Oryctolagus cuniculus: one gene and its partner. The protein of the gene in region 2 interacts with the protein of the main gene of each other region in a biochemical or structural test. Links are inferred from orthologs where the notes say so. Each region holds a gene or a part of one and is shown on either strand. Other genes may lie near its edges.

The links. The genes of interacting proteins can lie anywhere in the genome.
Region 1: the proteins of FOXA2 (region 2) and OTX2 form a complex in vitro, tested with the Homo sapiens proteins (2 studies listed by BioGRID). The link is inferred for Oryctolagus cuniculus from reciprocal best matches to the Homo sapiens genes FOXA2 and OTX2.

The regions. Positions count from the first base shown.
Region 1 is NC_091443.1:19,921,103-19,926,342, reverse strand, and holds the start of OTX2 (homeobox protein OTX2), read right to left. Parts: upstream 3,549-5,240; 5' UTR 3,411-3,548; intron 2,704-3,410; 5' UTR 2,564-2,703; intron 2,395-2,563; 5' UTR 2,322-2,394; intron 541-2,321; exon of another isoform or gene 404-540; intron 1-403. UniProt on the Homo sapiens protein: Transcription factor probably involved in the development of the brain and the sense organs. Can bind to the bicoid/BCD target sequence (BTS): 5'-TCTAATCCC-3'.
Region 2 is NC_091442.1:46,965,659-46,970,860, reverse strand, and holds FOXA2 (hepatocyte nuclear factor 3-beta), read left to right. Parts: upstream 1-1,965; 5' UTR 1,966-1,980; coding exon 1,981-2,067; intron 2,068-3,079; coding exon 3,080-4,408; 3' UTR 4,409-5,105; downstream 5,106-5,202. UniProt on the Homo sapiens protein: Transcription factor that is involved in embryonic development, establishment of tissue-specific gene expression and regulation of gene expression in differentiated tissues.

The DNA of each region.
Region 1 (5,240 bases), on a different chromosome or scaffold from region 2:
GCACATGCAACATTAAAAAAAAAAAAAAAAGCTACAGCAAGCAGTAAACAACAGCACTAAGATCCTTCTTGGGCTTCCTTTGCCCAGAACCCCGGCAAAATGGCTAAAATTCCCAGGATAGGCTCTGTTCTCTTTTACACGTGGATGCGCCTTTCAAAGGAAAAGGGGAGAAAGAAAAGCAAACACAAAACCCCGACGTCCCCTCACAGCCTGCCAGGGATGCACTGCTCCAGGGACGGGGCCGTGGGCCTCCCGCGTCTAACTTAGGAGACCAGCAGGGACGCCTCTCCATCCCTTCCCCTCCCGATCCAGTCCAGGCCGGGGTGGGAGAAAAGCCCCTGTTCAAAAGCACAAGCCCCCTCCTCCTGCTCCCGAGACGCCGCGGCCTCTGCAGAACGCGTACCTAGGAGCGCGCGCCGAGTCCCCGTCGCCGGTGGCGCCCACACCTCCAAGGCGCGAGCGGCTGGGTCCCGGGTCCCTGGCCCGCAGCGCTGGCGCCGAGGTCCCGCTCCACTGCCCGCGCCGGGCCGCGCAGCCTTATATCTAACGGTCAATTCGTGCAATCTGTCGCCTCCCCCCTCTCCCTCCCCCCCTCGGGTGTGTATGTTTTTTTTTTTCTCCTTCCAAGAAGCCCGTCTACCAGTTGCTGTGTCCTCGCTCAATAATAATTACCTCGTCCGAGAATTAATTATAATAAATGTTTTCTTGATAAACTAACGAGATAATCCGAGGGGCACACGTCCCTTAATTACAGGCCGCCGTGCTCAGCGCCGCGGCTCGTCCGGGCTGATTAATTTCCTGCCTGACGGAGGGGCGACACCACCAGGCGGACGGGGCCACCGTGGCCTGCGGCTGGGGGGCCCGCGTGGACGCGGCGGGAGCGGGCGGCGCAGACGGCAGCGCCGCGCGCCTCTCCCGGGCCAACTCGAGGGAAAGTTTGTGGCCTGAGGGAATCGAGCGACGCTGCCCCCGCGAGGGAGGGGAAGCCGCGCGCCGGCGGGCTTGGCCTTGACTATTCGCGGAGGTTGGGAGCCAGCCCCGGGTGGCTCGGCGAGCGGAGGGAGGGCTTTCCTCGCCAGTGCCTCTCCCGTGCCTGCAACAAAGTCCCGGGGCGAGCACCAGAAACCCAGAGCCCCGCAGCTCCGGCCTGGACGGGGCAACTGCCCGGCCACCCACCCGGCAGAGCGCACTAGTCCCGCACGCCGAGGAGGGAGCCTGGGGCTCCAACGCAGGGTCCCCCCAAAAGGGACGGCCCCTCCACCCATCCGCTCCAAGACTTCGTCGGAGTTGGCGGCGCCCCCTGACCGCGGATCTTTCCCCCGCAGCCCGCGAGCAGAGGCGGCGAGGGCCTCGGCGCACCCCTCGGCCCCAGCCGGCCCCCGGCCCCACTTCGGCCTCGAGCCTGGGGAGGGAGCGGCGAGCGGGAGGATTCCCGGCCCCGGGGCGGCCTCGGGCGGAGCAGGGGCCACTCGCCGGCGCTTCCGCCCGCCCCAGGTGCGCGCCGAGGGTCGGCGCGGCTGGCCCGGGACCGGCCCGAGCTCAGCCGCCTTGAAAACCGATGCTGGCACCTCCGTTCGGCCTGGGGGCCCGGGTCTGGCACCGCGACCGCCGATGGAGTGTTGGGGGGCGGGGGGGCACTCCCAGGACTTGGGGGGGAGGGGAAGGGGATTAAAAAGGAAGGGGAGACCAGGAGGCCTTGGGAGGAGGCCGAGAACGGGGCAGCTCCGGGCCGGGCGGAGAGCACGCCCGCGCCGCCCGCCTGCCCGGTTATCCGCTCGGCTCCCCGGCTCGCGTTCTCTGCGGAGCAGGCGGGCGCCGGGGCCGCGCCGCAGGCCGGGGCCGACCGGCGAGCGAGCCGAGCCTCGGGGCGCAGCCCGCAGGGGCGCCTACCTTTTCCTCAGGATCGTTTGAATCCATTCCTCAAGCTACATCTGCATTTTTTTTTTTTTTTTTTTGTCTCGGACTCTACACACGTCCTTGGGATCAGCCGGAAACTGGGGCCCAAAACGCCCAATCGCGCGGAGACCAAAGCCGCGTGGACATAAAAACCGAATCGGGGACAAAAACCCCTGCGAAGGCCCCCACACCGGACCCGGGGGCTCCCCGGCGACCCCCGCGAACACGCTCTCTCCCTCCCCTCCCGCCTTCCTCTCCAGATGGCGAAATCTTCCCAGCGATCTAACACTTCACGAGTAACACCTCAAGACTGGTAAGGGAAAAACAAAACAAAACAAAACAACACAGCCGCATCAGCCTCAGAAGGGCTCCGCGCTGACCGAGGCGCGCCGGCCGGTCCGGCAGGTGGTGACGGACACACTTACCTCACAGCCGCATTGGAGGTTAGGGGGTGGGGGCAATCGAATTATCCTTCAAAATCCCAAGTAGCCAGCTATCCTAAAAGAAATTAATAAGAGTATTGCGTTAGAAACCGTGCAGTCTTCCCTTTCCACATACACACAAAAAAAAGTCAAACAGAAGCAAAAAAAAAAATTTTTTTAAAGAGCGGAAAATGCGGACAGTGGCCGGGGCTGGGAACACGCGTGGGCCCCCGTGCGATACGTACAAAGTGGACGTGGCGAGTGAGGGCTGCGCTGGCGATTTTTTATTTTTCATAACAGTGCAGGCTGAGTCGGAGCTGAGGCCGGTTCCGCTCTCAGGGAGATTTGCTGAGAAAGCGCCTCTCTGGCAACTTTTTGACGCAAACTATCCAACCAATGGCAGGGAGAGAATGATTGACACATCTAAGCCAGAGGGAAAATAATAAAAACACACACAACAGGGGGAGGAAAACAGGCCGCTGCTGCACGGGGGGACGAGCAGGCAACAAATCCAGGCCTCCGACATTACCAGAATGTTCTTGAAAGACACCGGGCTCCGCTTAAAACACACGTTGCGGGCCGGGGCGTGTGAACCAAGTGTATAATGAACATGACGGACAGGCAGGGCCCGCGCCTCCTTCGCCTCCGTCTTCCGTCACTCCTTCCCTCGGCCCCTGTCCTCTCTCTTGTTGTTTGAGGGGAGAGAGGAAACCCACACAACGTTAGGGCCAGAGATGAAAATGCCCACGTCGAGGCGGGAGGGGGCGGGGTGCGGCCGAGGCCGGAGCGGGCCGAGCCGGGCCGGGCCGGGCCGGGCCTGGCACCGCGGCCGCCGAGCCTCCCACGGGCTGGGGGGTTAGGAAGGGAGCCCCGAGGGAGCGCAGGGCCCGCGAGGAAGGGAGCCGCACACCCCAAGGGCAAACTGTTCTGCAAATCTCTCTCTGCTGTACGCCCTTGGTCAAGACCCCCCCTCCCCGAGTCCGGTCCCCGCGCCGGCGCCCGGGGCGCGCTGCCTTCCTCCGCAAGCGGCTGGGGAGGCGGGGTGGGAGTGGGGGGGATGGAGAAGCCCAGGGGCCGGCTCCAGACACAGACCAGGCCTGGTGGGAGTGCGAGCGTGCGCCACTCGGGCGGCGGCCCCGCACACCCAGCGTCTGCGGGCGACCTGGCGCGGCGCGGGCCTGCGGCTCCTCGGGCGGGAGTCCCGAGACTGCGAAGTGCGGGCGCCTGGGGACCCCGGCCGGAGGCAGTGGACCCCAGCCCAAGTGTTCCGCCCGGCACGGACGGCTTCCAGCGCGTTTGAGTCTCTAGAAATGCAGACGCCAACGGGGCGGAGTACTGGGGAGCTCCGGGTGGAGCTGCTGGGGCTGCGCGGGTGGGGGTGGGGTGAGCGTGGCGGGAGCCGGGGACACCTCGGTCCCCCTGCTCCCAGAGCAGGAAAAGGCGCCGCAGCCCCCTCCCCTCCCCCAGCCGCCGCCGCCACGGCGAGTGGGCCCAAGGAAACAGCTCGCTGCCTTTAATTTGGGGACCTATGTTAATGAAGTCGGTAATTAATTCGTCGCTTTGTTGTCGGTTCTTATACTGTATGTGTAATCAAATGTGGCCGTCCTTGGGATTTACAGCAATTAACGAATTACGGGAGTGCGCACGAGGCGGCGAGCTCTCGGCAGCCGGGCTGGGCTCCGGCTCCTGCGGCTCGGCCCGGGGCCGGGCCCTCGGCGGCCGCCGCCCCCCTCGCGGGTGTCTCCGAGGGCTTTGGGGGCCCCCGCGGCCTGCCGAGACCCCCGCGCGGCTCCTCCCGCTCCCGCCGCCGCTGCACCAGTCGCCAGAGAGCCGCTGGCAGTCCCGTCCCCAGGAGTCACGACTTTCTAGGGGCCGGGCTGGGGGGAGGGTGAGTACGGACCTTTGGCGATCACCCCGCCTCCACTGCACCGAAACACCTGGCGACCGCCCCTGGGGCCTTTCCTGGGTGGGGGGTGGTGGTGGCGGTGGACGAATGCCCCAGGCGGTCCGGCCTGCGGGGCGCTGGCGGTCCAGGCGCCTCTCGCGCGCGCCGCCTCTGGGTCCCCACGCTTGGGGTGAAGGAAGGGCAAGCCCACCGCGGTCCCGCGCCGCGGCTTCGCCTTTCCACCCCGAGGGAGGACCGTGTGCGCCCACCCCCACCCCGCCCCAAGTTTGATCACTCTGCGGTTTAAAGCTTCCAAGAGCGAGGAGGAAAAGTGGGTTTTGTGGGGGCTGGCGGAGGGAAAGGGTCGGAGCCAGGCCTTGGGGCCGGTGGGGGTGGGCAGGGAGGAGAAGTATCAGAACCCGCGCTGGCGAGCGCCTCGGCGTGAGTGAAAACTCCCGCACTGGGAGACCCGTGGGAGCGTGGGGTCCCGCCCGTGGAGGTGTGCGGTGTGCTCTCGAGTGGCGGGGACGGCCCGGGGCAGCGCTGGACAGAGGCAGATTTCTGCGTGTTGAGGTGCGGACCGGCCGCAGCCCGCTCCCGCCTTGCCTGTGACCTCTCTACCAACTTCGCAGACACGCGGGGCCGCAAAGCACGAGTTGGAAATGGACAGTGTTAAATAAACAAGGGTCTCTTTAAAATTCTCATCCACTTCAGATGTCTAAAGTAAGATTGTGATGATTTTGTCACGGTTTGGTAAATTTACCCCTTTAAGAGGCTTTCATAAATCCCAGAACACACCTTCAGCCAGATTTGAATATAGATTTAGCTTTTAAAACCCAGAAGCTGGAAACACCGCTTTATCAAAGAGAATTTCCCTTTAGCTTAGCAATGTGCTGAAGCTCTTAAAAGATTGGATCTGAGGGAGAGAGAGAGAGCGAGCGAGCGAGGGGAGAGAGAGAGACAGAGAGGAGAAAGAGAACTAGAGACAGAGAGATGCAGACAGGGGGGGGAAAAAGACTTTCTTTTTCTTTCTAGAG
Region 2 (5,202 bases):
GGGTGGCACCCAGTGGTGAGGACATGGCCCGCCTTGGTGCCTGCGTGTGCGTGGTCGGAACACCTGCGCGCGCTGCCAGACGCACCGGGCCAGGCCCGCCAGCCGCTCCTGGAAACGCTCCCCATCCCGGGGTCGGGAACCTTGCTCTTGGGGGACCCCTCCTAGCACTACGAATGCCCACGCCAGGAATTGTCCAAACCACCCGCATTTCAGCAGCGAAGGGCGGCTGCGACTGGGGTCCAACACGACGCAGGTGTTGATGCGGCGTGGGTCTAGCAGGTGCTCCACCGCAAATGTGGCTCCCTCCTGACCTTTCCCCAGACCTTCAATTCCCATGGCTCAACTGAAAGCCTGCCTCTTCCTCTACCTTCTGCTACCATCACCCCTGCACAGGTGGGCCCAACGCCCCCCAGACTCCTCCTCCTTTTTTCTTCTCCATCTCGCAGGGGAGAGAGTCCAGGACTAGATTGCCATGGCCCACCCAGGTTTTCAGAACCAAGGAAGGGCGTCACCCGTGAGTCCCTTCCACCTCCAAAGCTGGGCTCTGAGGTCTTCGCGGGGAGCTGGCGCAGGACAGGCGACCAGGCTGAGCCCAAGTGCCCAGGGAAGACAATCCAGGCGTTTGGGTTGCTGGAGTTTCTTACAGAGCAGCCCCCCGGAATGCTGGGAGGACGGACAGAGACCCTCCGGAAGTCACTTTTGATTCCTGGACTCCAGTCTGTCCTCCCCCGCCGCCCTGTTTGTTTTAGTTACGAAACGTTGCGAGCACCTCGGTAGTGGCTGAAAAGTAACCTTGAAAGGCGCGGGCCTGAATGTCAGAGACAAATCATAGCCTCCCAACCGTCGGCTGCAGCCAGCGGGGCTGCGCCCGGCTGTCCCCACTGTGGGCGGCTGGCGGCTGAGCCCGGAGGAGGCGCGGGCCGGGGCTGCGGCCGCCGGACCATGCGCGCCCCGTGCGCCTTCCGCAGCCACCGCGGGGCTCGGCTGTGACGGTCCCGGGAGGGGCCTCCCGGAGCAGCGGCGGCAGAGTTCGAGGTGTGTACACAGGTTTTCTGAATACGACGGCGCTTTGCCCGCTGCTTGCTTTCAGCACTGAAGAACCCCGGGAAAAATAAATCCGGCTTGAATCCGGCTCTGCGGGGCGCGGCGGCCGGACGCGTGTCCTGGACACAGGCGCCGTGAGCCTGGCGCTCTGGGACGGGGCGGGGGTCCTGGGCCGGAGCCGCTCCCGAGGTTGGCCTCTTTGCGGGTCCCTCTTCCCACCGCGAGGTGGGGGTGTGTGTGGGTTGGGGGGGGGGACACCGTCCGGAGCCGGGAGGGCAGGAGGCTGGCTGGATCCGGGTGCCGGCCAGCCGGCCGGCTTGCCTGACACCCCCCTCGCCCCACGCTCGCTCTCTCCGAGTGCGGGGCGCGGAGGGGCAGGTGCGGGGCGCGCGGGCCGAGGCTCCCTCTCACCTAGGTGTGAGCTGATTATTCAAATGGGCTGCCCCGGGTCTGGGGATTGGAGGCCCGCGCCAGCGCGCCGCGCTATATCACCAGCCGCCCACGTCACTGCGGCACTTGTCCGCTCCGCGGTCCGCACCTCCTCCTCCTCCTCCTCCTCTTCCTCCTCTTCCCCCCTCCCCCACCCACCCCTGCGCTGCGCGCTTCCCGCCGCCTCGGGGCAGCTCGGCACTGCCAGCATCAGCCGCCACCCGGCAGCCCGAGAGCGGGGCGCGGGCGGCGGGCGCTCCCGACAGCCGGGCCCCGGCCTGGGCCTCCTGCGCTCCTCCGCCCCCTCCTCCCGCCCACTTCCAGCCACCGCCTCCGGCCGGCCGGCGCGAGAGGGAGTGGAGCCGAGAGCGAGCGAGCGAGCGCGAGGAGGGCGGAGGGAGGGAGGGGACGGTGCCTCGGCTGACTTTTTTTTTTTTTTTTTTAAAGAGGGTGGGGGTGGGGGGTGATCGCCGGTCGTTTGTTGTGGCTGTTAAATTTTAAACTGCCATGCACTCGGCTTCCAGTATGCTGGGAGCTGTGAAGATGGAAGGGCACGAGCCGTCCGACTGGAGTAGCTACTACGCCGAACCCGAGGTAAGCGCTCGCCTCGCCCGGGGGAGAGTGGGGCGGCGGGCGGCGCTCGCCCCGCGCCCGCCTCGGGACCGCTCCCCTCGCGGGCTCCCGCCCCCCCACCCCAGCCTTTCCGGGCGGCCGCCTTTACCTCCCTCCTTCGACTCAAATGGGTCTCTTTTTTATACGACACACTGTTAGCCTTGAGATAATATTAACTTTGTGATCAAATATTGACTTGCGGCGCCTCCAAATCCTCTTCGTGGCCGAGCCACGCACTCTCCTAACACAGTTCTGTTTGGCAGCGCGCGGCTGGGGAGGGGTGGGGAGCTGAAGAGGGGAAGGTGGTGGGCAGGAGCTGGGGGGTGAGGTGGAGGCAGCGGCAGAGCAGCGGGCGAAGGAGGCGAAAGAAAAGTTTGCGACTGCCGAGCCCGGCCGCGGGGAGTTTGTGGTGTCCCCAGCGCGCGCGGCTCCTGCGCTGTTCCTCGGGGCGATGTCCCGCTCTGCGTCCGGGCTAGGCGCTGGCTCGTGTTTCAGCTCCCCAGGGGCTGGGGAGGGGGTCGGGGAGGAGCGCCCGATGGAGGAGACCCTGGGTCAGTCTCCGCCTGGTGTCCCAAAGGTGGCTTGCCGGGGCAGGATGTGTCGTCCGGAGACCCTCAGCCGGGGCGCCGGCTCAGCATGCTGGCAGGAGAGTTTAGAAGGGGACTGCGGGCAGGGGAGGTGCATCCAGAGTGCTCGGCTTTGGGGTGCTCCGGGGATCCCCGTACGCTAGGCGCAGACAGGCTAGGAAGCTTCAGTTTCGTGCCCAGAGCAACAGCTCACCGGGCATCTCCCCAAAAAGCGATCAGAGCTCGCTCGGGGTAAAAAGGCCTCGATGTCCAAATACAGGCGTACCCCCCCAGCAGGGAAGGCCTCCCCCGGAGGAGGCGCGGGACCCGGGCCGGCTAGGGCGGCGGGGCTCGGGGAGGTGCGGGCACCCCACAGCCGCGGTGCTAACTCTGTCGCCCCCTTCTCCCTCCGCGGGCTCTGTTTGCAGGGTTACTCCTCGGTGAGCAACATGAACGCCGGCTTGGGCATGAACGGCATGAACACGTACATGAGCATGTCGGCGGCCGCCATGGGCAGCGGCTCCGGCAACATGGGTGCGGGCTCTATGAACATGTCGTCGTACGTGGGCGCGGGCATGAGCCCGTCCCTGGCGGGCATGTCCCCCGGCGCGGGCGCCATGGCGGGCATGGGCGGCTCGGCCGGGGCCGCGGGCGTGGCGGGCATGGGGCCGCACCTGAGCCCCAGCCTGAGCCCGCTCGGGGGCCAGGCGGCGGGCGCCATGGGCGGCCTGGGCCCGTACGCCAACATGAACTCCATGAGCCCCATGTATGGGCAGGCGGGCCTGAGCCGCGCGCGCGACCCCAAGACCTACCGGCGCAGCTACACGCACGCCAAGCCACCCTACTCGTACATCTCGCTCATCACCATGGCCATCCAGCAGAGCCCCAACAAGATGCTGACGCTGAGCGAGATCTATCAATGGATCATGGACCTCTTCCCCTTCTACCGGCAGAACCAGCAGCGCTGGCAAAACTCCATCCGCCACTCGCTCTCCTTCAACGACTGCTTCCTCAAGGTGCCCCGCTCGCCGGATAAGCCCGGCAAGGGCTCTTTCTGGACCCTGCACCCGGACTCGGGCAACATGTTCGAGAACGGCTGCTACCTGCGCCGCCAGAAGCGCTTCAAGTGCGAGAAGCAGCTGGCGCTCAAGGAGGCCGGAGCCCCTGGCGCTGGGGCCGGCGGCAAGAAGGCGGCGGCGGTGGGCGCGCAAGCCTCACAGGCTCAGCTCGGGGAGGTGGCCGGGCCAGCCCCGGACACCCCAGCGGGCACCGAGTCGCCTCACTCGAGCGCCTCGCCGTGCCAGGAGCACAAGCGCGTGGCGCTGGGGGAGCTGAAGGGGTCGGCGGCCGGGGCGGCGCTGAGTCCCCCGGAGCCGGCACCCTCGCCCGGGCAGCAGCAGCAGCAGCAGGCGGCCGCGGCCCACCTGTTGGGCCCGCCCCACCACCCGGGCCTGCCCCCCGAGGCTCACCTCAAGCCGGAGCACCACTACGCCTTCAACCACCCCTTCTCCATCAACAATCTCATGTCTTCGGAGCAACAGCACCACCACAGCCACCACAGCCACCACCAGTCCCACAAAATGGACCTCAAGGCCTATGAACAGGTGATGCACTATCCCGGCTACGGGTCGCCCATGCCCGGCAGCTTGGCCATGGGGCCCGTTACGAACAAAGCGGGCCTGGACGCCTCGCCCCTCGCCGCAGAGACCTCCTACTACCAGGGGGTGTATTCTCGGCCCATCATGAACTCTTCTTAAAGAAGGTGGCTTCAGGCCCGACTGGCTCAGACAAGCCTGGGACACAGACCAGAGAGAGAGAGAGAGAGAGAGAAAGAGGAGGAAGTGGCTGTGCAGACTTTAGCAGGGGGGCTTGGAGAGATGCAAGGGTGGAGAGATCCGTGACATCCCCCCCCCCAAGGCAAGCCCTTCTCTCCTGGAAAGATCACATTGAAACCTGTCGTTCTATATAGCGAGGGAAAGAGGAAGAAATATAAATTCAGAAAAAGAAAGAAAGAAAGAGAAAAGAAACAAAGGAAGAAGATAAAAGAAAGCCTCCGGTTTCACTGCTGTGTAGACTCCTGGTTTTGGAAGCACCTGCCAGTTCTGACCTTTTGTTGTCATTATCCATTGATGTTGTTGCAGGCGAGTCTTGCTTTAAAGGGGGAAAAAAAAACTTTTGTGAGTGACTCGGTGTAAAAACCATGTAGTTTTAACAGAGAACCAGCGGGTTGTACTATCGTTTTAAAAGGGGGAAAAATGTCAAGGTCTGTTGTAAATGACCAAGAAAAAAAAAAAAAAAGAAAATCATGCCCATTCTTGACATGGCGAAAATCCAGGTCTCGGGTCTGATTAATTTATGGTTTCTGCGTGCTTTATTTATGGCTTATAAATGTGTATTCTGGCCACAAGGGCCAGAGTTCCACAAATCTATATTAAAATGTTATTGCCGGTTTTATCCCTGGAATCTTTTCTTTAAGAGTTTTTGTTTGGTTGTTTTGTTTCGTTCTTCCCTTTGCCTGACTTGACACCCATAAACAGGTCTGAAATTATTT